Linked DNA regions of Tamandua tetradactyla. The protein of the gene in region 1 purifies or fractionates together with the protein of each later gene. This does not show direct contact. Links are inferred from orthologs where the notes say so. Each region holds a gene or a part of one and is shown on either strand. Other genes may lie near its edges.

Region 1 (12,532 bases):
CGAAACGTGTTTGTGTTCAGACCCGGGCGTGCACCCGCAGCGCTCCGCCCCCGCACCCTGACCACTCTTCCCAGAAGAGGAGCCCAGGGTCTGGCCGGTGCCCAGCTGCAGCCAGGGCGGCTCAGGCTGTCTCCTCCCTAGTCCCCGCCCGCCTCCCCTCAGGCACAGGTGCTGGGGCGGCTGCACAGAGGGCTGAGCCCAGGCCCCCGCGGCCCCCCCCCCCCCCCCCGCACCCGTCTCCAGCTGCAGGGGGCCTGGGCAGGACTGTGCTGGCCCTCGCGCCCACAGAGGGCCTGGGAGGGGAGGGTGTGGACACCCACAGCCCCGGGGAGGGGGCTCGGACTGAAGCAAGGGCACGTGCCCGGTCACCCCTCATGCGCCCATCCGTCCACACCCGCCACCCATCCCTGCACAGACTGCTGCTTGCTCTCTCCAAGCCACTTCCGGGATCCCCGTCGGAGATGCCTCCGGGGGAGGGAGCTGGAGCCCCGGGGAGGAAAGAGGGTGCCCAGGTTCTCCGGAGAGGAAGGGGGATGCGACTCACCAGGGCTAGGAGATGGGGTGCAACGAGCAGGAGCCTCGGGGCTGAGGTTTATAGGCGTCTGGGGAGGGAGGAGCCAGCGGCTCGCAAGCCCCGCGGGGCGAGTTTCCTCCGCGGGTTTTCTGGCGGGTGCCGCCCCGCCCCGCCCCCGGCCCGGAGGCCCCGCCCCCGAGCCCCCCCCCGTCGGGGACGCGCCCCCCCCCGCCCCGCCCGCCCCGCCCCCACTTGGGGCTCCCCGAGCTGCCTGGACAGACCCCGCCCAGCGGGGACCCGACCGTCCCAACACCTGGGAGCGCGCTAATCACCCCCCGCCCACCCCCACCCACCCCTGCCCTCCAATCGGGAGCCCAGAGACGCCCCATCAGAGAAACACCACAAATGCCCCCTCAGAATGAAACCCCACAAAGAAAGAGGTCCAGACTGACATCCCCAAGGAAGAGTCCCCGCATTGAATCTCTCAGAGGGATCACAGCCTGAACCCCAGGGAGATGCCCTAAAACTAACTTACTCACTGAGGGTCCTCAGGGGTCCGCGTGGAGGAGACCTGGGCTCCGAGGCCCTCAGAGTGGTCCTCGCTGAACAGCAGGGCTCAGCCGTGGCAGGGGCTCCACTGCCCAGCGCGGGTGAGGCGCCCCAGGGTCCCCCCCAGACCTGCCTTCCCCACCTCCCCTCCTCCTGTGTGCCCGCATGCTGGTGCCCAGCGAGGGAGAAGGGGAGCAGAACATGGCTGGGGAAGAGAACACAGGGTGGCCTGTTCCAGCCTGGAACACAGAGGGCGCCTCTGTCCACTCCTGGCCCCTTGCCCTACTGGGTGTCCGTGAGGGGGTGGAGCCGCGGGGGGGGCAGCGGGGTAAGGACGACTGAAGACAGGTCTCCCCACACAGCTCTGAAGCCACATTAGCAGCCTGGCCTGGCTGTCCAGAACCTGCTGTCATCTGCAGCCGGAGCTGACCGTGAGTACCCTGCCCCACCGAGCCAGGTCCCGGCCCAGGCCAACTGGGGGATAGGGGGCTTCAGAGGGGCTCCAAGGCTCTGGGGACAAGGACATTGTGGCAGACTGAGGGTCCAGGAGGAGTTCATCAGGATGGCAACAAGGTGGGGTTCGGGGGAGATAGGTTTTGGAAGGTGGTAAGGAGAGGCAGGTAAAGGTCAAGAGAGATGTGGGAGCATGGCAGGCAAGGAAACCAATGAGGTGCCTGCCCCTGAGCCCCAGGCCACAGGCCCCCACCAAGGAGCCCTCGAGTCCCCTGCCAGCTCTCCCTCAATCTCCCAGGAACCGAGGTGGGCACCCAGCCCTCCCTGTGCTTCCACTGGGTTAGAACAAGAGAACAGATAGACCCACTGCTTCTGGCCCCAGCCTCAGTCTCTGCCACCTCTGCCCACCCTGCCAAGAGCTCAGGTCCCAGGGAAGTCTGGAGGTGGCAGGGTGTGGTCATGTGATACCAGGAAGAAGGGGTACAAGGATATTGTACCCACTTCCAATTCCATCCCCACATGGCCTCCTCTTTCTCCTCCTCCCCTCTCTTGGCCTAGAAATCCAGACTCCTCTTTCTCTGTTCTCTTTGTTTGCCCATACCCACCCCCACCCCCACACTGCCGAAGAGCTCCTTTCAGAACTCCCCAGCACAAAACCCCAGCCTTCTCGAGGGCTCCAGGTGCCCCTCCTGGATGAGGCTGGAAACCGAGCCACCAGCACCTTCCCTCACACGCCCCCTTATCCTCTCCATCAGCCCCAGCTTGGATTCCATCTCTCCTCTGTCTCTGTGACAAATGCTTCTCATGTCCGGAGTTCAGGTGACACTCACAAGGGCCCCATTGAAGAGTTGGGATGTCATACGATCAGGGCCCATTGTTCAGCCCCCCACCCCGGGAAGGATGGGGACATCTGATCTGAGACATCTGAGCTGCCCCCTGAGACTGGGGAGGGGCTGACAGCCCCAGAGACAAAGGAAAGAGACCCACTGGCTTGACGGTCTCCCCTCTCCAGCCTCAGCAGTCCTCTCCATTCTTCTTCTCCCTCCCAGCCCCTCAAAGGACCTCAGGAATTGAGTCTTTATCTTCCCCAATACACACCGGCCCCATTCCCCCTTCTCTCACTGTCCCCACATCAACCAGGCTAGGCCTGGGGAGACAAGGCCCTACAGGTCTCCCCTCCCCCTCCCTGGGAGCCCTGGCTCCAGGGATAAGCCTCAGACATTCCTGTCCGTTCCCACCATTCCTCCAAGGGAAAGGCTGATTCTGCAGAGATGCAAGAGGAGCTGAACCAGAGGCAATGAGAGGCCTACCTCAGGGAAGCCAAAATGACGTGTTCTGGAAAGAACAAAGTTGAGGGACCAAAAGGAGCCCCCAAGCTGCTGACAGATAGCTTAATGGCTGTGAAAACCCCCCAAGGAGTCTTAGGCCACTCACTCCGACTGTCTCCCCTCCATTCAGGCTCACCAAGAATAGCACACTGACTCCTTGCTAATGGTGGGCCACAGAGTCAAGACCATGGAAAGGACCCCAGCTCACTGTCCCCAATAGCACACAGAGCCCGGCTATGCGGGCAAATGAGGCGCAGGGTAAAAATAGATTCAGAGGCAGCCTGGCCAGGCCCTGTGACCACTTCTGCCTGCCCCACCCTCCTCAGGCCTCTAGAGCCAGCCCAGTCACTCTCTCTCCAATGCCCCAAACCCTGTCTGGCTGGAATATGGATTAACGGACCCAAAGAGCAGGACTGGATTTAGTTCTGCCTGAGTTTTCCCTATTATAATATCTCAGTGAAGGGTGAATTGCTGTGGGGCTCCCATCTCGTGAGGGTTCGGACTGTGGGGTAGAGCCAGGCTTGAGACCAAGATTCCTCCCCGCCACCCCAACCCCGGATGCCCTGGGTCTGGTCCCCCACTCACTTCCATGGCGTGTGTGCTTGTGTGTGGGGGTGAACAGGTGAGCTGCCGCAATGGGCTCTGAGCTGGAGACGGCCATGGAGACCCTCATCAACGTGTTCCACACCCATTCCGGCAAGGAGGGGGACAAGTACAAGCTGAGCAAGAAGGAGCTGAAAGAGCTGCTGCAGACCGAGCTCTCCGGCTTCCTGGACGTGAGTGGGCAGAGGGTGGGATGGGCAAGTGGGCAGAATGGGGTGGACACGCTCCTGTCATCTCCAGTCCCGCCCCACCCCACCCCCACTCAGCCCAGCCTTCTCCCTGCTCTCCTAGACCTCTCCTGAATTTTTTCCAGGCCCCCCTACTCTTCCTGGTGCAACTCAAAATGCCCTGGTTTACTTGCATCTGATGCGCCTTTTATCTAGCATATGGATAGAGGAGTAAAAAATACGGATACAAAATAAACAAATAATTGGGGGGGACAAAGGTTAAAATAAATCAGGCAGTTGGAAATACTAGTGGTCAATGAGAGGGAAGAGTAAGGAGTATGGTATGTATGAGTTTTTCTTTTCTCTTTTTATTCCATTTTCTGGAGAGATGCAAATGTTCTAAAAATCGATCATGGTGATGGATACCCAGCTATGTGATGATATTGTGAGCCACTGATTGTACATGTGTGGAATGTATGTGTGCTAAGATTCATCACCGAAAATATTTTTTAAAAACAACAAAAATGCCCTGGTTTCTTGATCACCTGTTAAGTGAAGGCTGTGTATAGATTCATCAATAACAAGGCCGGAAGTACAAAGAGCTCTTAGAGGTACCTGCAAGGGGATGGGAGAACATTAACCTGATTACAGTGGGATGGCTTTTCCAAGGACATGCCACTTGAGCCATGGATTTCCACTGGCAGGTTATTGGGGTAAATGAAGACATTTTAGGAGGCAGTATCAGCATGAATAAAAACATGAGAGAAGAAAAGAAGGTGGAGCATGCTAAGTTTAATTTGACTGGAGTGAAGGATGCACAAAATTAGGCCACAAAAGCAAACGGGGGCCCTACGGTAAAAGAGAACCTTCAGGATACAGTAGGAAGTACACAGACACTTTATTTTTATTTATTTATAGACCCAGATTTGCATTCTGACCCTATCACTTTCAAGCTGTGTGACTTTGGCAGCTTGCTTAACCACTGACTGTCAATTCGTTTCTTCTCTAAACTGGGAATAATGAAATCTACCTCTCATAAAAAAATCTATTTTTGTGAGGAATTAGACAATGCCTGTGGAGCTTGGCACATTGAAGGCACTCCGAGGATGGTCACAGCTGTGACCATCGTTACTCCGCGCTGTGGAGGAGCTCATCCTGTGGGCAACAGGAGCCCATGGGTATTGGGGTTTTGAGGAGGGGAGCACAGGAGTCCCATTCGATGTAGTTCTGCCTCCTTCTCAATCAACGACCCTCCTTGCTCCTAACTCAGCGTCAGGCACGCTGGACTCGCCGTGCCACCGCCTCTCCCCCTCTCCCCTTCTCCCCCACCCAGGCCCAGAAGGATGCGGACGCGGTGGACAAGGTGATGAAGGAACTGGATGAGAACGGAGACGGAGAAGTGGACTTCCAGGAGTACGTGGTGCTGGTGGCCGCCCTCACCGTGGCTTGTAACAACTTCTTCTGGGAGAACAGTTGAGCAGACACCCCCAGTGGGCAGCGCCCTTCCCCTCCACCCTGGCAGATCTGCCCTTTGATCCGGCTTACCTCCCACCCCCTTTCCCCTCCCCACGCTCCTCCCATCCCCATCAAGGGCACAAGAGTAGTGGGCCAGGCCTGCAAGTGCACTTACATTAAAGGCTCTTCTTTGGCCAGCCACCCACTGTCTGCCTCTTCTGTAGCCCAAATGTTGGAGAGCTGCTTACTTCCAATTTGCCTAATTTGGGGAGAGGCCTTACGCCGCCGGGAGGTGTCTTACTGGGGGGAGGGGGGGGCATATACAGTCCTACTTGAGAAATGCTCAAGGCCCATGAACGTGGGGTTTCAACTTTCCAGCTGGAAGCTTCTAAGCTATAGAGCCAGAAGAATCTCTCCCTCAACACTCAAGAATATTTACTGAAAACCCTAAGCTGGTGTTCTGAAGGAACCGGGGATAGAGCAGTGAACAAGACACAATTCCTGTCCTTACTGGACTTGGGCCATGTAAAGTCTAAAACGTGTGTGTGTTTAGACTACTAAACACACACAAAGCCACGTTCTAGGAAGGAAAATAAATGGCTCCTCATGAGTGCATACGGGGTAAAGGAAGAGATTCAGGATGAGTTCATTCCCTCATTCCTCAAACATAGGAGCACTTTGTTATGGACCAAACCACAGGGAAAACCCCACAGGTCTAGGGATGGGAGGTCCGGAAGGCAAGGGGGAAGGAGGGCGCGGAAGGGACACAAACGTCTCCCCTCCTCCCCAGTAAGGCTTAAACAGCACTCAGACCAACTGCGGGAGGGAAAGAAGTGGAGAGGAAAATACGGACGGGGATGTGTGTGTCCTAAAGCGGCCTCCGCGGCCCCGGCTGGCGGCACTTCTCAACGCTGAACCGGGCTTATGAGGATAAAGGAAAAAACAGTAAACGCCCCGGGTCCGGGGGTCCGGGGGAAAAAAACCGGGGAGAATCTCCAGTAAAGACTTTTAGATGGTCTGCCTTAACTGGGGAAAGGGCGACAGAACACAAGTTTCATTTTTCATCGGGGCACAAGCCCCTCTCAGCGTCCGTGACTAGCCACGACCCAGGGAGAGTACGGTGCTAAGTCCTGACGCCACGGGCCAGAACACCCGTCCGCCCCGATCCCGGGTCCGCTAGCCACGCCCCCTCGCCGTCCGAGCGCGGCGTAGTTACGCAAACGTGCCTCGGCAAAACCCCACCTTCTCCCTCGAGCCCCACCCCTGGCCCCCGCGCGGGCGTACCACAAACGTTTCCCCGCCCCCCGGTTGTGCGCGGATCTGACGTCTGATGTAATGGCGTCGACGCCATTTTAGCCGGCCCCACTCCGCACCGGGCGTGGCGGCCATTTTGTTTTGGACACCGAGCGGGAGTTGGTGGCAGCTGTGGTAGCACGGACGAAAGGAAGGAAAGGGCAGGCCGGGTGAGCACAGAGACCGGCCGGCCAAACAGCCGAGGACAACCACGAGCTAACCTAGCAACCTACCGCCTTCGTATCTAATCAACCGCCCACCAAGTTAACCCGAGCTCCCCCGCCGTCAACTCGGGTTCGGCCGGTCTCCGGCCTGCCTGCCTAGCCGTGGTGGCCGCCCCGGGAGGAGCACTGGCGTCCGTTTCCTTCGGTGCGTTTCTGCGGTGAGAAGAAGAGGGGAAAAGTGTTGGGGAGCGGGCCGAGCTGGCGGGCGCGGAATGGGGTAGTGGGGTGTGGGAGAAGTTAGGTTGCCATGTTGGAGCGTGGAGGCCCAGGGAGGGGGCGGAGGCCCGGAGGAGGAAGCGGGGGAGGGGCGGAACTGGAAACTGGTGGGGTTTGATGGAGAAGTTTGGGATACAGTAGTGGAAGAAAGGAAACTTAGCGTCTTGAACAAAGTTGGCGGCCTTGACGGGACTTTGAGATGGTAGGGAGGTGAAATGAGGACTACGGGGCTTTGGGGAATGTTGGAATGATGACTTTAGGGTTAAATACTGTGGAGGGCTCTCTGGGAGCTAACTTCCTGGTGAATGCCCATTTAGGAAACCTTTTCTCGTCCTTCCCTTAGGTTCCTAGTTCCCTGTTAAGCTCGCTGCAAGTTTTGGAGTCGAAAGTCAGTATTGAAACCACTCATGGTCATGCTTGTATCTTCCCTCTAGATCAGTAATTCTCAACTTTGGCTGCATATAGGAGCACCCAGGTAGCTTTTTTAAAAAAAACAAAAAAGCAAACAACAAAAAAAAAACTATTGCTAATCCCCAGATCCAAACCTTAGAAGGTGGTAGTTTAATTGGTCTGGGACCAGACTTCGGTGTTTTTTTGTTTGTTTTTTTCTTTTTGACTCCCAGGGTAAGTCACATGCAGTCAAGATTAAGAATGACTACTCTAGACTGAAAGCCAAAATTAGCACTTATTTAGTGCTCTCTGGCTCTGCCATCTTTGGAGACTTGGCAGATACTTTCTGTTCTGTAGCAGTGAAGTTTTTATAGTTTGAGGTAACAGTCTTACAAAGGTAAGCACCTGAAGTGAGTTTTGATATGCTCATCATGATAACAATTGTCAGTGATACAAATCTTTTAATTCATTGTTGGTGTGGGCCTTGGCCCTTGTAGAAATGGCCATTCTGCTTTTCTGCTCATTCTGTCTATTGTCCTTTGTAGATTCTCGGGATTTGAAGATGGCTGCACAATCAGCACCGAAAGTTGTGCTAAAAAGCACCACCAAGATGTCTCTAAATGAGCGGTGAGGCAGCCAACAGCAACTTCAGCGCGTTCATAAGAAAACATTGTTAAATTGGCCCTGGGGTCCAATGCACAAAAACCGGTTTTAAACTAACTAGATACCAACAGAAGGCTACAGACCTCTGTTCCTAGTTGCATCTTATGTGGTACACAAAACAAATTGGGCGGTTGTTTCAAAACCCCTTATCAGTAGCTTTTTATGTTAAGCTGTCTGAAACATTTATCTGGTGGGATGTATTTGAAAAGGACTCCTCACACCCTCCCTTTTCTTCACATTTTTTTTTACATTGATACAGGGGTGGTGCAGCGTGGTAGCATGGTACCCTGGCTGCAGTTGGCTTGTTGCCCAGTCCAAGGCCAGCAGTGTTGTGTTTGGCCTGTAAGAGGCAGGTAGCAAGCCGTGAATCTGTCCAAAGGCCCTTGAATGTTGTTCTTGGACCTTGTAAGAGGCACTTGCTTTGCTCCATTTCACTTTCTTTCCATTCTGCTTTTAATTTGTTTTTGTTTTGTATTCTGTAAACATTACGTGTTCTCTTCCATTTCATTAAACTTACCTTGACAGGAGTAATAGAGAAGTGTCTTCACAGGCTCCTAAATGATTCAGCTAATGTCACTTAATATAACTTTATCAGAAGTAATCATATGGAGCCAGAAAAGGTGATCATTCAAAACTGAGAAAAGGTGTGTAAAGGCAGTTTCTATCTTGAGGAGCTTTATTCATTGAGTGCCTTTGGTCATTTTATTAAGTTGATGATAGACCACTAAGATTTATTTAATATATGTTTTTGCTTTTCTGAAACATATGTGCTTCTGTCTTTTAGGGTACAGTACTATAATTAATTATCCATGTTCACATGCAACTAAGTGAATAAATATAGAAAAATGTGATATATTCCTAAAATGCATGTGGGTGTTTGTATATCCCATTAGTATGGCTTTGAAGGTACTCTAATCCTTCTTCATATTTGCCCTTAGAATGCACCCTCGGGTCTTCCAAGGTTTTGGTTTTCTTCATTTGTCTTTGAAACTACATTTTCTGTCTCTTGTCATCGTATCTGCTTATTGCGTGTTTTTCATATTTTCCACCTCTCTAAAAGCCGTTACCTGAGCCCTTGTTATCACTTTTGATTGAATGTGCCGCACTTAGCTGCATTTCTCAGTTTCTGATTCTTGCAAGTTTGTGGAAACAGAGGAGTCTTTAACCCACATCAGCCTTGATCTAAGTGTACCACTTTACTTAAAAGTTCGTGGGATCTGGAGCTCCTGATCTAGCAAGCCATGAAAATGCCAATAAATGTTTTATAATAAAGCTTTTATTTAAACATCCATTTTGTTCGACCTTGAAGCTTTACTAATATGCTGAAGAACAAACAACCGATGCCAGTGAATATTCGGGCTTCGATGCAGCAACAACAGCAGCTAGCCAGTGCCAGAAACAGAAGACTGGCCCAGCAGATGGAGAATAGACCCTCTGTCCAGGCAGCATTAAAACTGAAGCAGGTGAGAGAATGGGTTTTAATACTCCAGAAGCAGCTGGTGATCTCCGTCAGGCAGTCCACTGAGGCTGTCAGGATGTGATGGTTGGTTACGTGGTGGCTCAGGGCAAAAGCTAAACCTTCTCTGGAGGAAAGAGAAGTTCAGAGAATTTCAATTTTGGCAGGTACTGATAAGTAACTTTTTTTAATATATTGTCTTTCTCTTTTGGGGAGTTTATCATCAGTGTGGCCTATTTCTGGATTATCGATGAGTGTTAATCTTTTTTGTTTTCCGATCCTTTACCCTTAAAGTATAATGCACCCTTTTTTCCACAAAGAAATCTGCTTTCTGTAATTTCTTCACTCCCTGTTAAATGGTTTTCAATTAGGGAAGTAATTTTATTATTTTTTATCTTTTAGTGTAGGATGGCTGAAAGGTCTTAGTCAAAGCTTTCCAGTGCTAAAATATGGAGAGTTGCATGACCCTTGTCTCCACAGCACCTAAGGTTTTATCAGTAGGATAGTAATTTAAGAGTTAGTGGGTTCTCTTTCAAATTTCCAGTAAAAGATAATCCTATTCAGACCTAAAATAAAACCTCCTCTTTATTATTCATAGACCTTATATGCAAGTCCGGACAGTGGCTGTGGAAGGATTTGTCCAAGCTGTGGCTGGGCGTCTGGAGGGCGGTGCCATGCAACTGTAAGGACTTTAACTGGTAGCGCTGCATGGCTGTGCATAAATTCAGCAGTTAAATATAACAACCCTCTTACCCCACCCTGAACTATTGGGCTCACTGATCAAAAATAAACGAAGCTTTCCATTTTGGCTACCATAAGCCTTTGGAGTGACCGGATCTGTCTCCGACCTAGGAAAGCAGTAAAAGGCACCACAATTTTCCAGGAGTAAATATTAAAAATTACTGAAAGTTAAGCCCTCAAAATGTAACTAGTGCTGTTACGGAACTGGGTTTTTAAATTTTTATTTCTTTTGAAATATAAATAGCCACATGTGGCTAATAGCTATATTATGATACGACACAGCTCTAGAGTGCAATCTGGTTAGTATAGTTGGCTTCTTTAAGCTTTCTGTCAGTGTTTGAGACCAGTATTGGTGCCACCTCAGGATTGAGAAGGGAGAGCTCCTAAGCACTGCATGGTTCTCCTTTTACCTTCTCTAAGCACAGCACTCAGCAACACAACGAACTTTTGAGATGAAGTCCTGACCTCATAATTGTGTGCTGTCCCGGGAATAATGTGAACAGGCCATTATCATTGGTTACACCTGCTGTCTGCCTGTTGGTAGATACACATTGAAAACTATTTAAGATCTTGTGCTAGTAAGTTAATTGTGCCTTACAGCATCTTTTTTGAGGATTTGATGGAAGAAAAAAAAAACGTTGGTAGTCAGTTGAGTTGAAACCTGAGGACACTTAGGATCTCTTCATTAATGCTGATTGCATTAGAGAAAGTCAGGTTTACTGAGGCCTTGGTTTTATTCAAGGCAGTATTGTCCCCTTTTCCTTTGAGGAAATTTAACTTTCTTAAGATAGGTCTTTATAAGTTTTTTTCTGAGGGACAGATCATTGAAAATCTCTGTCTCTCCAGTTATGCTTGTCTTCCGATGTTGCCCTGAAGTTTTGTGATTATAGACCCCGTCTTGATGCTAACATGAGTTTTGGCTGGCTCTCCGTGAAGATGTATTTGAGTTACATGTTTATTTTGAACTAAAGGACATTATGCTGGCTTATTGGAGTTGTTTGCAAAGATAGACATGGAACTCTGGATGTTTATGAAATGTAAGAAAAGAAAGTTTGACTTTTTTGTGTTTATTTACACCTTAAGGTAAAAAGTAGACTGTCTGGAGATAGATGCTCAGAGGGAAAGTGGAGCACTTTGGCCTCTTTGAGAAATCAGTCTTGTTCTTAAATCACAAGAACTCAAATGAACTTGTAATTTAAATTTTGCCTCGAGTGTGATGGCCTTCCTATGGTGTTTGAGTAAGCCTTTGGAGACAGTGTAGCCCTTGGGCAGGTATGAATCAAATCATATCATGGTCAACCTGTGGTTCAAAAATAGCGGAATCCAGGATTTGAACTAGTGTTAAGCTTACATGAACTTATTAAAACTGAAGTGCCAGGTGGTGGTGTGTGACTTCTGTAGCCAAACTAGATAATTTGTGGTGATGCCGATTTCATGGGACCATACTCACGCTTCTTAGAGTTTCTGCTCTGGATCAGAGTTCTGCTTCTTTTATACCCATGTTCTGAGGTAAAAGCTTGCTTCTGGTTTGGGATACTTCTGTCACCCACAGCAGGTTTATCTCCACACCAGGCATCTCACTTGCTTCTTTTTCTCTGCACTTTGAGTTGCCAGATCCTTTTGGCTTGCTTTTTTTGATCTCAATTCCCCAACACCTTTTTTTCCAGAAGAGCTTAAAGCAGCGTCTGGGTAAGAGTAACATCCAGGCACGGTTAGGCCGACCCATAGGGACCTTGGCCAGGGGCGCAATCGGAGGACGAGGCCTGCCCATAATCCAGAGAGGCTTGCCCAGAGGAGGACTACGTGGGGGACGCGCCACAAGAACCCTCCTTAGGGGCGGGATGTCGCTCCGAGGTCAGTGCTGTGTACTTGATAATTGTCAGACTCTACCCCTTCCCTTTTCTCTTGGGCTGCTTATGGACACATTTGTTTAACATCTTTAAGCCTGAATTTGTATTAATATAATTAATAACTTTTGAAATCACATATTTTTAATAGTGCTGCATGTCTTTTATCGATACCATTCCTTTTCTGGTAATATGCAATGGTGAGAGGCTATGACCTGCGTAATAACAGGTAATTCACGTCATCTCCATTCCATTTTAAAACACTCTGCTGCTTGAATCAGAGCACATTCACGTTCTAGAAATCAGTCAAATCTGAGAAATTTTATGGGTCACTTGGCCATCTCTATGTTCCTGGTGCTCATGAAGCAGTCTGTTATATCTGGAAAAAAGGACAAGTTGACCCATAGCACTTAACTGTGTTTCATTGTGGGCACTGTTACACTGTTCCCTCTATCATTCTCAGCCCCTGCGAGAACAAGAGCAGAAACAATGTCAGGTTTTTTTTTTACGAGCTAACATAATGTTAGGCATCTATCTGAATACTCAGTATTTATTAAATATATCTACTTACTAATTAACTTATTCCCACCTTCTTCCAAAAATGGATTTGTGGCCAGATTTGTTGACTTGATT
Region 2 (12,510 bases), on another chromosome or scaffold:
TAGATCTGTAAACTTACAACTCATTAAATTCTCCCTTTTAAAAGCCATTCCATTTCTGGTGTATAGCATTCCAGCAGTTAGCAAACTAGAACAAGGTCACATATTATTATTATTCCATTTATATGAAACATCCAAGACACGTAAACCCACAGAGCCAGAAAATACACTGATGGTTGCCTGGGGATTGGGGAAGGAAGAAATGGGAACTAACTGCATAAAAGAAGGCACTGGCAGACCTATTTAGTATTCTTTCTTTTGGAGAATATTTCAATGCAAGGTGAGTGTTAATGCTTGGTATGTTTGCGTAAGATGCAGATAGAAGTTAGGCTTTGCTAAAATCAGCAAAGATTAGTAAAGAGTACTGCAGAATCAAAGACTAAATACGGTAATACAGGTAAGATAACAAACTGCTAAGGCAGTTTGTGCACAATGTCTGCCTTTCTGAGAAATAAGGATGCCAGCAGAGGAATGGAACTAAAAAAAGCAACCAGAACAAGAGCCTTAGTCTCCTTTAAAAATTAGAGAATTTGGTGGCAACGAGGAAGGAAAGGTACCAGCTACCTAGAAGCTATCTCTGTATTTTTTCCCACAGGCCTACCCACTATTGGCTTAAAATACCAAATTAGTTTTGAATAATCAACAGAATCAGGAATATGCCCCACAGCAAAACAAAATGACTTAAAAATCTTTATAGGAAGAAGCAAAGAAAGGACAACTGATAAAAAGGGTGTTGGAGGGTGCACAACTGCTCTACTCAAAGTAATGATTAAGCATAAAAATAAACCCAATTTGTGGAGAACCAAGCTATGTGCTCTTGTCTAATGCTTTACTGAGCACAGAAACATTGGGAGCTAAGTTCCTTTCAGGGTGGTACTGACTTATCAAGTGTATAATAAATTCCACTGATTTAGGTTCCTTTTGTCTTTATCCTCGGAACTAATCCTTATGTTCTAACAACATTCTGATGGGCTACAGCCAAATCTCAATGGCTTAACTCTACAGTGGTTGAGTTGAACCAGACTGTACAAGGGATATCTTAAATATATTTACATATTATATAAAATAGCAAAAGGCTTTGAAAAATCATTCATTCATTTTATTTGTTTATATATACATATATGAACTTGATTAAAAAAGTAAAATAATATTTGCCAAAAAACCCTGTATAACTAACGTTTCAAATATTCAGCAAATCTAGTCCTAAATATCTATGTTCCCTGCTCAAGCTAATAGTTCATCAAATCTGGAGGAAAATACAAATCCAGTTCCTAAATGAGACATATTCTAATAGTGAATGTCAGGTAACAAAATAACAAAGATTTCTACCCCCTCAATTATTGATAAACTCACCTTCCATGCACTCATTCACTGATTCATAGTCAGCATAAGTTCTGCCTTCTGGCCTCTTGGTAGGCTGTACCAGCAAGATGGTGTGAGACTACAAGAGAAAAAATTGATTTCATATAAGCTTCTAACTCACATTTGAGAAATTCATGGTATGATATAAAAATCCCCCTTTGGCACATGATTTTTGGTTGTTAAAACATACCTAAACCAGGATGCCCACCCTGCCTTTGCCCAATGTGGTAGCAAAACCAGGATCCACATCTCCTCAAGGTCACTATATTAGTCCCCCAGGCCTTAATGACTGCTTCTTCCTCAAACTCCTATTCCATTTACAGCCTGTACTTAATCTGCATAAGCTACCTCATGGTGCTTTCTCTTCTATCTTTTCTCCCCAATTAGGTTATAAATCATGTTAGGCATTCTATCTCTATTAGTCACTTTCTATCTTCTGTCCCATTAAGTCCCTAATAAAAATTTAGGTGTAGGCTAATTAAGAGAGAAAAGGGGAAACACTATAATCATTGCAAACACTTTATCAACCCATTTTCTTTTTCCACTTCCAACAACAGTGGAGTCGCTTCTTATCCAGGGGTTAAACTCAAACATCAAGATATAAAGTAAAACTGCAATACAAAATTAATATTAATATAGTTAATGTTACTCTAGAAAACACATTAAATTATTCACTTAGCAGATAACTTGCTTTATTGGGCTATTTTTACCAAATCACAGATTTTTAAACAATAGAGTCATACAAAATGGTTAAATAATCACACTAAAATGTGCCAAAGAAAAACTGACAGATTCTTATTGCCCACCTCATGTTCATGGTGGGGGTGGGGAGCGGGGGGTGGGTGGGAGGGGGTCGAGAGAGGGCAGGCACATGCTTACTTTAGTTGGTCTATTTTAGGGATCCTCAATCTTTGCACTGTGGACATTTTGTGCTTGATGACTTTTTGTTGTGGGGATTTGTGTTGTGCATTGTATTGTAGGCAGCTTATGGGCATCCCTGGCCTCCACCTATTACATGCCACTGTCAAGTTGTGACAACCAAAAACGTCTCCAGAAATTACAGAATGTCCCTCAGCAGAGAAAACTGCACCTGGCTGAGAAAATACTGATCTATAAAATTATTACCCCACCAATTTTTGCAAGGTATGTAAGACCGGTTAATTAAATTCAAGTTATGATGCATCCACAGTAAACCCTACCTCAAACCAAACCTTTTCTTTTTCTGTACTAGTACTTTGGGGCAAAAAAATCTCATTATGAAAAGTCATTTTGAAATGATCAGAACTTTTAACGATCAACAAATTGGAGTTGAAACATCTGACACCCAGATTTTATGAGTAAGCAAATGAAAAATAGTACCTTGAAGGCAATATGTAAAGCGAAAGGTTATCATACTCTTCCCTCTTCATCAAGAACTGAGTTATTCTGATGAAAAGCTTGAGAGGGTTTAAAATCAACTTGGTATCAAAAGATGAAGAATAATTAATCTTCACTCACCTATAATGACCTGCAAACAGTCAGAACCTTTGCTAAATAATAATTAGAGTAAAAGCTAGATAAAGTATTACAGATTATTTGTTACCCAAAAGTTTTTGTAGGGCAGGCCACAGTGGCTCAGCAGGCAGTTCTTGACTGCCATGACAGAGACCTGGGTTCAATTCCCAGTGCCTGCCCATGCAAAAAAAAAAAAAAAGGTTTTTGTAAACCACCCAACCAAAAAAGGCTGTTTTAATGGCTCATTTGTTGAGAAGCTAATAACTTTATAGCAACCATATTAACATCTCTGCAACAGGGCTTGTCCTATACATTAGCTATACCAGTTGCTTCCATATTATTTTTGTTCTTGTTCTAATGCAAATTAAAGGACTAATTTATTTGAAAGGATAACACAGGAAACTGAGGGAAATGGATACAGACTATGCTGTTTTTTATATCCAGTCATAAACGTCTCTGGGCAAAAGCTTATTCTTCTCAATATAGACTGCCAAAAGACAAGGATTAAAAATTATTAAGACTATTACAGGACTAAATTCACAAAACTATCATCAAAATAGTTATTTTTAAGTGGCAGTACCTTCCTGTTACCAATTTTTTAAGATCATAATACTTCCCAAACTGGTTTTGGTCACGGTTTTCAAAATCCTTTGGATTATTTTATTAAAAATCCAAATGTAATTGTCCAAACAATTTTCCCTTCTTTGCAGATTTGGTCCTTGCCTCCTTATAGCCTTAATTCTTGGGGGAAAGATCAAGACAAAAATATAGATATCTTTTTTTCTATTTACCACAACTGAAAAAAAAAAAAAGATTGTTAAAACTCAGTCAGGAAAAACAAAACAAAAAAAGCACAATTCCAAACACAAATCTAAGAATAGTCATGTGCTATTGCAGAAATATTAAATAAACAATTTGCTCATTAGTGTCAAATGCTCCCTCCAAACTACAAAAAAAAAGAAAAAAAGAAATTGCAGCTTGCATTTCCAATAAGGCAAAAGTACTTAAAGGCTTTCAGACCAATTATCATTCACTTCAATTACTACTTCTAATTTTCAATTTTACTCAGACAGAATAAGGAAATATCACTGATATTTGCCCAACCAGATGGGTTGTTGCTATTACGTGCTGTCATTTTCTTAGATTTTAATATGAACATTTTAACAAAATAGCCAATAGTGTCATAAAGGCAGAGAAAAACCCATAAAGGTAAAATGACTTGCTCAAGGTCACACTGCTAGTTACAGCAAAACCGGGACTGTAACCCAGTCTTCTGATCAGAAAAACACAACTTAAGTCAGTACCTTGTTAACAATTACTGAATTGGCAATTACAAAACCAGCAACCAGAAAACCAAAGTTGAAGTGTGGAACTAACTCTGAGTCCTCATGATCTCTGTGAGCATCTCTTTTTTATGAACTAAAAACAAACAAAAAAACTCGATTCACTCAACTGCTATCCCGGTCGGATTCTAAGGGACCTAGGCCCTCAACTATGCCTCTCTTTTAAGCCTCCGGCTCCAAAATTATGTAAATAAGGTTAACAACAGGGACAAGAGCTGACGGAAATGTCAAATGGGCTTTCTATGGGTCTTGGAAAACAGTGTTTACAAACACAAAAAACAACATCAAAACATGTAACGCACAGGAAAACAAAAGGGAATGAGTAAGAAAAATTACAAAGCAAACACGACCCCTCTTGACCACATGCTGGGTGCAGTAAGGTGACTATGGCAGCTTCGAGAACAGGTTTGTCACACATCTCCCAGCCATTGTTCCTACTAAAGAGTTTGGAAAGAAAGCACACCATCCCTACGCCTCCCTCCAGTAAGCAACAGTCGGCAGAAAGCACATCCTCAGGCCCACGTCTCGCCTTGCAGGAGCCAGCGAGCAGGCGCGCAAATGCTTGGGCGGACCCGGGCTCCAGGGCCTAGCGCCAGGCCCAGCGTCTCTACGGCGGGAATGGGAAGAACTGCGGAGCAGCACGCTCGCGTTAGATAGGGGAGCCTGGATGATGTTTGGGGATGGGGTCACCCCGTAGACCAGAGATTCATGAAGCCGCTAAGGTCTGTCTCACCATCGCGCCAAACTCCTTCACTGCAGCCGCTGCCGACACCGCCGCACGCTAGCTGAGCCTCAACGCCGCCAACAGCCAATCCCCGCGAGAGGTGCCGCCGGAAGTCGTCAGAAGCGCAACAGAAAGAGGCTTTTGGATCATAGAGGCGCACATATTTCCGGCGGCTAGAGCAGATGCTGAATGCTTCAACCATTTTGGATAAGGGCAATTGGATGCCCGCGGAATGATTCGGAGGGCGAGAATCCTTTTTTTTTAACCAAGACGTTGCTTTCCATATTCTTGTTGTTATACGTACGGCTGGAGTGATCACCAGATAGTGCACGTGTATTCTTTCACTAGCCCTACTCAAAAATGGCGGCGGCATAGGTATCTAGGGCCACAGGTCTGTTGTAACCCGGAAGTGCCCTTCTAGAGGGGGTGGGGGGGTGAGTCAATCCGGAAGTGGATGTAATGAAGAGCTGCCACTTGGCGGCCATGGCTGCTTTAGTTTCGGCGGTTTCGGGTCAAGGCCCCGCGGAGTGGAGTAGCATGAGCAGCTCTGGGTATAGGGCAGAGACTACTTTGTATCAGCTTCGCTGCTGAATCCCTAGGACTCGTCGTTAAAGACCTGCAGGACTCCTTTCCCCATTCTAGACTTGGAGGAGAGTTTGCCGGGACTGGTGGGCTGGTCCCAGCCTTGGGAGGACCACCCGCAGGGTAGCCCCCAGGGGAAAAGGGACACCAGGAGAACGAACAGGTTCGCTTGGGTGACCCTCTTCTTCCTGCTGCCACCTGGGACGTTGTCTGTAGAGGGAGTGGCTCCGTTGTCCAATCTTTTTCCGACGATTGAAGACGTCTCTCGTTCGCACGTTTTCCGATTGACTTTTCCATCTCCAACGGTTCACCCACGGGAATCCAGTCACTGGCATCTAGGGGTCCAGGGACTGGGACTAAAGATTGCTGAAAGTTCTCTCTGGTGCTAATATCCGCAAAAGGGTTTGCAGGCACGTTCAAGAAAAAGGTTCCTCGAGAACACATCTGCTGGTGGGGAGGCCGAAAGAACTGGAAAGTCTACCTGTTCTCTTGGAACCACTACACGTGTTTAACATTTTAAGCATCTTTTGAAGTCACTGAAAATTTGTGGTTTTGTGGTGGTGGTGGATTTTGAATAAAGGAGGGCAGAATGGATGATTTCCTCTCCATTAGTCTACTGTCTGCGGCTATGTTGGTGGGATGTTACGTGGCTGGAATCATTCCCTTGGCTGTTAATTTCTCAGAGGTAAGATATTTTCAATTTTCTGTCAGCTGTCAGGAGGGCTGCTGGAAAGTGGAAACAGTTGTGAAGGGAAGCTACTTCCCAAGTTAACCTCAGAGCTGAAGATCTCATTAAGGAAGGACTCTCCTTTAAAAAGACATCACATTTAAAACAATAGGAACAAACCTCATATTCAGCATCAAGGGCCTGGGTATTTTGAACTCCCTGAAATTGTCTACAAAAATTTGGGGCCCTGCATTTTCATGGAGAGAGGCACTATAACATTCTTTTAATTCCAGGAAGTTCCCAGGAATCAAGGTTCCAGATTACTATCAAGAAAGATAAATAGAAAATGTTATTCGTCCATGAGTTGAAATAAATGTGATAACTTATCTTTTTGAGAAGGTCGAGCATATGTTTCTTGGGGATATCTATAAAGAACGAATGTAAGGGGGAAAAAATACTGGTTATTGTTAAACCAATTTTCCTTTTAAAGGAGATCACTGAAGTAGATATTCTAAAGTTTTCAAATCTTTGCTTAGAAATGAATTTTTTGCTAATATGTTTTGACATTTTGGTTTAATTGGCAGTTTGTCTTTTCTTGAGCAAATATTCACAACAGAGAGGGGCAAAGGTTGGATGAAAGCTTTGTTCAATGTAGATACAGATAGGTTCATTATTTAGAGGACTGTCAGATTCAGAGAGAACTGGATTTCATGAATCTTTCTTGGAGCTCTGGAGTAAAATGGTAAAATTGCCCCTAGTTTCACTTCCAGCCCTGAAAGTGTTATTGGAGGAAAGGGGACAATTGTATGGCCTGAAGTAGAAAGTAAAGATACAGATGAGGTGTGAGGAAGGATTTGAAGAAACCTGAGGGAAGAGGAGGCTTGGCAGGTGAAGGAAATAGTCTGTGGGTAGGAAAGATGGGACTATGTGTTTCCTACGCTACTATGGGTAGGGAAGATGGGACTGTAAAGCCCATAACCAAATGGAAGGAAGGCTTGAATTGCTGTTTCTCCTCTTCTGTTTCCCGTTTTATCCGCACTCCTCACTATCTAATGATGATAATGAGCTAACATTTTTTGAGCATGGACGTTAGCTGACTTCATTTTAAGAACTCAGTACAGATGAGGAAACAGGCTCTGACAGATTATATCATTTGAACAAGTTCATGCTGTGTGTTAGAATCAGAGCTGTTTTCTGCAGTTGTGTAGAGCTGAGTAGCGGCTGATTGTCGTGGTTTACCATGGCCTGTGAAGCCTGTTTCACTTATTTGGGTGACCTGCTTGTCCTGTACTTTGGTGACCTGCTATCTTGTATCAGACTTAAACCATATTTTCTTATAATTCTTCTAAAACTGTATTAGAAAAAAAAAACTATGTTAGAATTGAATTGACACTATTAGGGCTGGCATTTGTGGGGTGGTTTGTATATTTAAAAACTTACTAAGGGGGAGTGCAAGGGTAGTTCAGTAGTAAAATTCTCGCGTGCCATGCAGGAGACGGTGTTCGATTCCCGGCCTGTGCACTTAAAAAAAAAAATCATGGTGCTGCAATAACAGGATACCATATGGAAAAAGAATGAAATGTGACCCCAACCATACAGCATAAAAGAAAAAAAACTTATTGACGTAACATTTGTCAGGAATTATAACTAATTCAAATAAGCAAACAATAAAACATTTTTTCTATAAAATGTTTAGAACTTTTCCAAATTCAACATTTTTCTCAAATAATCTTAAATTATTATAGTAATGTGCAAGTATTTGCAAGTTTATTTTTTGCTGAAAGGAAATGTCTGTGTGAGTGGTGTTTTTAATCACGCATCGATAAAAATATTTAATATGCCATGTCATTTGTAGCTTTTGAAGTTGATGGTCAAATAGTTGCCCAGCAATAGGTCTTAAAATGTTATAAATCAGCATTCATAATGTCTTTATGTTTATATCAGTATCAATGCATTTTGAGCTGTTAGAATAAAACTGCAAGATATACATAGCTTAAAGAATTTTAGAATTCAACTGGTTTTCTGTCTCCTAGAAACGAAATATTTTTAAAAGACAAATTATACTATTATTGTAGACCAGTGTATCATGAAACTAATGAAGTGATAAATTTGAAAAATAAAGTTCATTCATGGGGGACTGGAAAGCAGAAGATAGCTCCCCCAAAAAATAGCACATAGCTTCCCAAACTCCTAAATTGGCTAAATTACTTTTCCTCTTTAAGAAGTCTTGCTTTTCTTAGAGACTAACATTTTTATAAATAAAAAGAGCAAGTCAACCTAATTTATTAGGTTCACTTTTAATTCCCTGAAAAGGTAAGCTTTTCATTCGTTTTCTTTATCTTGCTACTGCTTTGCCATTCATTACTTTTTTCTTCAGAATTTCTCAGAGCGGGAATAAAGGCCAGATGATCGATAAAACCATTAATTATGGCAGAGTTAGTATTCAGAAATGCGTTAAAATCAAACAGTCTGAAATTGTGTTAGCAGTGGTGCATACTTCCCACTCTGACCATTAGGAGGTTTATGTGGCACTGATTTCTCTTATCACTTTCTCCAACATTCCTCACCCCCTCAGCCACCTTTCTTAATACTTTTGTGACCTTCTTTCTTGCCTCTTGATGCAAGGATCAAGGATCTTGATGATCCTAGTGACTGTACCTTCATGCCTAGATAATTTATAAAATGAAGAAAACAATCTCTTATTCTCAAATACAGCTGTAAAGAACTCTGATTATCAAGATGTTCTCTTCTTCACGGGGAAGGAGAAAAACAAAACTTGTAAAGGAGGCCAAGATGTGCTTTATGCAAATGAGGTCCTATCTGTTAAAGGAGTTAGACTCACCATTTAAGCATTATCTTTTGTTTTTTAAGATTCATTTAATGAGCACTTTGGCTCAAAATAACATGCCACATAAGAAGGTTGAGATTCTGCAAGTTAAGATTAACTAGTATAAACCCAGTTAGCAGCTGCTCTGGATGATGAATGAAATTGAGATTTAAACTAATATACAAAGTGGGATTTTAGATGGATTATTTTAGGATTATTGTCTACCTCAGCATGTCTCCACCTTGTCATAGAGCTGATGACAGAGAGTAAGCTGTGTTTCACCAGAACTCCAGAGCAGTGCTCATCAGACGACCTGGGGAAGGACCAGTTTTTGTTTAATTTCCATTTCATTGCAGACAAATACATTTGTAAAATATCATCAAAGTGAAATAGGAAAATGAAGTGGGGGAAAAAAAAGACATTCACAGTGCAGGCCTAAGTGTGTCGTTCTGACAGCTTTTTCTCGTTTCTGTATTTTTTTTTGTTGAAGACCAGTTTGCATAGCATACTCTTGAGTTATACAATGGCACATTTTTCATATGTTAAAACAGTAATTAAACTATAGAGTTAACTATAGTTATGCAAATGAACTAGTGCTACTCTTACTCCAATAAAGAATTTAGGATAATTAATAATGCACTAATTTCAAAAGGAAATGTCTCAGACAGTGTAGTTCAAAGTCAGTGTGACTACTGAGCTAGTTAATTTCCATGTCTTTTCTGGTGTGAGGATAAAATATAAGCAAGGAGCTTAGAGAACTATGTCTATAGAACAAAATAATAGCTTTAGAAAAATTTGGGGGTTCTCAATGCTGATTAAAAAAGATAGTAAGAGTTTCATTTTTATAACTCTGTTCTGATTTGTAATTTTTAAAACTTTTATTTTGTAACAGACTTGTAATAACTGATGTCTCCCCATTTCCCACCATTTATTAAACCTATCTCTGCAACTTGTTTGGAATCTGAAAGGTGTTGATGGGGGTTGGCACTCTTATTCCACTTGGAGAGGCCAGGGGTTTTCCTCCAACCTCCCTGCTTCATAGTATTTTTTTTAGCATTTAACTTTCTTTTCTTCATTGTACTCTTTCTCATTTGGAGTTGTGTTTTGTTCTTTCATGTTTTAAAGTTTTATTTTGTGTCTGATTATAATAACTGGTGCATTCCTAAGTGTCTGTGGGGCTTGGAGTTGACACCAAATCAAAGGCTTATTGTGCTGAACAACAAATTCGTTCAGTAAACCTTTTCTCCAACAAGCTGTTCTGTTTGAAGTAGGTTTAACAGAGTTGCATTTTACAGACTTTTGCATTTGTCCGGCATAGTAACATTTTATTCTCTTATGGTTGTACAATAAGTTTTTTTTTGTCAATTTAGAATTTAATTTTTAAATTATGACATTTTAAACTTTGCATTCTCTGTAATTTGTCCAAATCTGAAAAGCAATCAATAACTTAGTCTTTCCCAAAATTTAAATTACAGATTATTGTCTAATAAAGATCTTTGCCTCATGAACCTAAATTTGAATCAAATAAAATGGATACAATCTGATTCGGTATTACTTTCCTGAAAAATCCTCTTTCCTCCAGCATAATATAAGGATAAGCATTATGGAAACTGCATACTAATTTTAAAGATAGTTAATATTTATTGTACCAGGCACTGATGTGCATTATCTCATTTAATTCTCAAGACAAGACTATCAGATAGATACTGTTAAACTTCACTTTACAAATGAGCAAACTAAGGCTTGAAGAAGCTTCAAACTTTGGTAGAGATGACATTTGAAACTGTAAGTGTAACTGTGTAAGTCAGTTTGAATCCCTGCCAGAGCACTTAAGATGACATTGCCTTTCCTAATGAACACAGTGTAAATAAGAAATGAAAATATGATGGCACCTTTAGCTCCTCAAATTAGAAACACCTTTAACATTTCTGACATTTTACCGTGGTGAATCTTATGCCTTATGCTTAGTTTGTGTAGCAGAATTTGAAACTCCAGAGGTCAACCATCTCCAAATACCATCAAAATTTACAGGAAGCATTGAATGTCTCAGGTGACTTTTAAATTAACACGTGCCAAATTGGAATTGGGCCTCTTCTTTAAGCACTCTGTCTCCTTCCTAGGCTAGTTACTGCTACTTATATCTGCTATTCCTATATTCTTTAAAATTCTTTTTTATTAGCTAATTCCTCATTACCCAATCCCCTGTTAGATTACTCTTTATATTAAACCTTCCCTATTCAAATTACTTGTCACTTTTCTTTCCTGTTTGGACCCTGACTTACACAGCAGGAAATAGGTCATAAAATCAAATGTCTACTGAGGCGGAACAGTCATCAGACCTAGGATAAAATAAAGCAGTCCAAGTGTCCTGATATGTGGCTGCTGAGTTTCAGCGTCATCACCTGGGAGACGTTAGGAAAGGGTGAAAACTGGTACACTGAAGAGTGTATGCCATTTGATAGTACCAGCCCTGGTGTTGCCAAATCTTCTGTTTTTCAGAAGCTGGAAATCTGGATTTTTATGTGAACTCTCCCAGATTTTACATTTTGGCTACTAATTCAAATATTATTACATTGCCATGGGGGAAAATGACCCATGTTTGTGAGTTGTCAGTTTAGAATTTATGGGCTAGGTGATCTGATTTCTAAACCCTCTGCAGACTAGAAACAGCAAATCAGAAGGGGTGGGGAGCAAGTGGAGAAAATAAGTCACAACATGCCAGCAAGGGAGGAGACTGCAAAACATTTCAAATGTTTACAAAACCTCAAAGTACAGTTGTTTAGGGTTGTTTAATACAATAGCAAACTCCTCTTTGCTCACATTAAGGCTATTGACAGTACAGTGATAACAGCTATAATGCCAACTTATGTGTCAGGTTCTGTGATGATTTTTTTTTTTTTTTTTTTTTTAAAGAGAGAGGAAGGAAAGGAAGGAAAGACAGAGAAGGAAGGAAGGGAGGAAGAAAGGGAAACATTTTTAAACATTTTCTTGTTTTTTATTATATTTTGTTTGTTTGTTTTTTGTTTTTTACATGGGCTGGGGCCGGGAATCGAACCGGGGTCCTCCGGCACGGCAGGCAAGCACTCTTGCCCGCTGAGCCACCGCGGCCCACCCCTGTGATGATTTTAATAGTAGTATTGAAAGGGAAGAATTCTTGTCCTGTTCATAGATGAGGAAACTGAGCCTTAAAGTTTATTAAAGTCCAAACACATTGTATTATATAGCCTAGCCTCTAATTAAATTAACAAAACTTTTTTTAAAAAATCCTGGCTAGATAAGTAATACAGGCTCTTGGTAGATATTTTAGAAAATATGATATTAAAATCCTCTATAACCCAGCATCCAGTGAGAATCAGTAGTAATACTTTTATTAGTTTCCATTCTCTTTTCTGTTCGTTTGCATCCTTAACATGGCAGATTTGTAGTTTATGTGTAATTTTATATTCTTTGTTTTTTTACTGGAGAGTATATCATAAGTGTTTTCCTTTATCGTTAAAAACTTTTCTTAGTAGTT

The links.
Region 2: the proteins of CHTOP (region 1) and ERH purify together in Homo sapiens (affinity purification with mass spectrometry; 3 studies listed by BioGRID and IntAct, with this or other methods). This does not show direct contact. The link is inferred for Tamandua tetradactyla from reciprocal best matches to the Homo sapiens genes CHTOP and ERH.

What each region holds. Positions count from the first base shown.
Region 1 is NC_135330.1:6,430,903-6,443,434, forward strand, and holds the start of CHTOP (chromatin target of PRMT1 protein), read left to right. Parts: upstream 1-6,414; 5' UTR 6,415-6,744; intron 6,745-7,737; 5' UTR 7,738-7,754; coding exon 7,755-7,819; intron 7,820-9,164; coding exon 9,165-9,318; intron 9,319-9,909; coding exon 9,910-9,993; intron 9,994-11,719; coding exon 11,720-11,906; intron 11,907-12,532. Other genes in the region: S100A1 (protein S100-A1), read left to right, coding at 3,480-3,620, 4,948-5,091. UniProt on the Homo sapiens protein: Plays an important role in the ligand-dependent activation of estrogen receptor target genes. May play a role in the silencing of fetal globin genes.
Region 2 is NC_135338.1:27,265,417-27,277,926, forward strand, and holds the start of ERH (enhancer of rudimentary homolog), read right to left. Parts: upstream 5,063-12,510; 5' UTR 4,933-5,062; coding exon 4,930-4,932; intron 1,439-4,929; coding exon 1,351-1,438; intron 1-1,350. Other genes in the region: SLC39A9 (zinc transporter ZIP9), read left to right, coding at 6,092-6,187. UniProt on the Homo sapiens protein: May have a role in the cell cycle.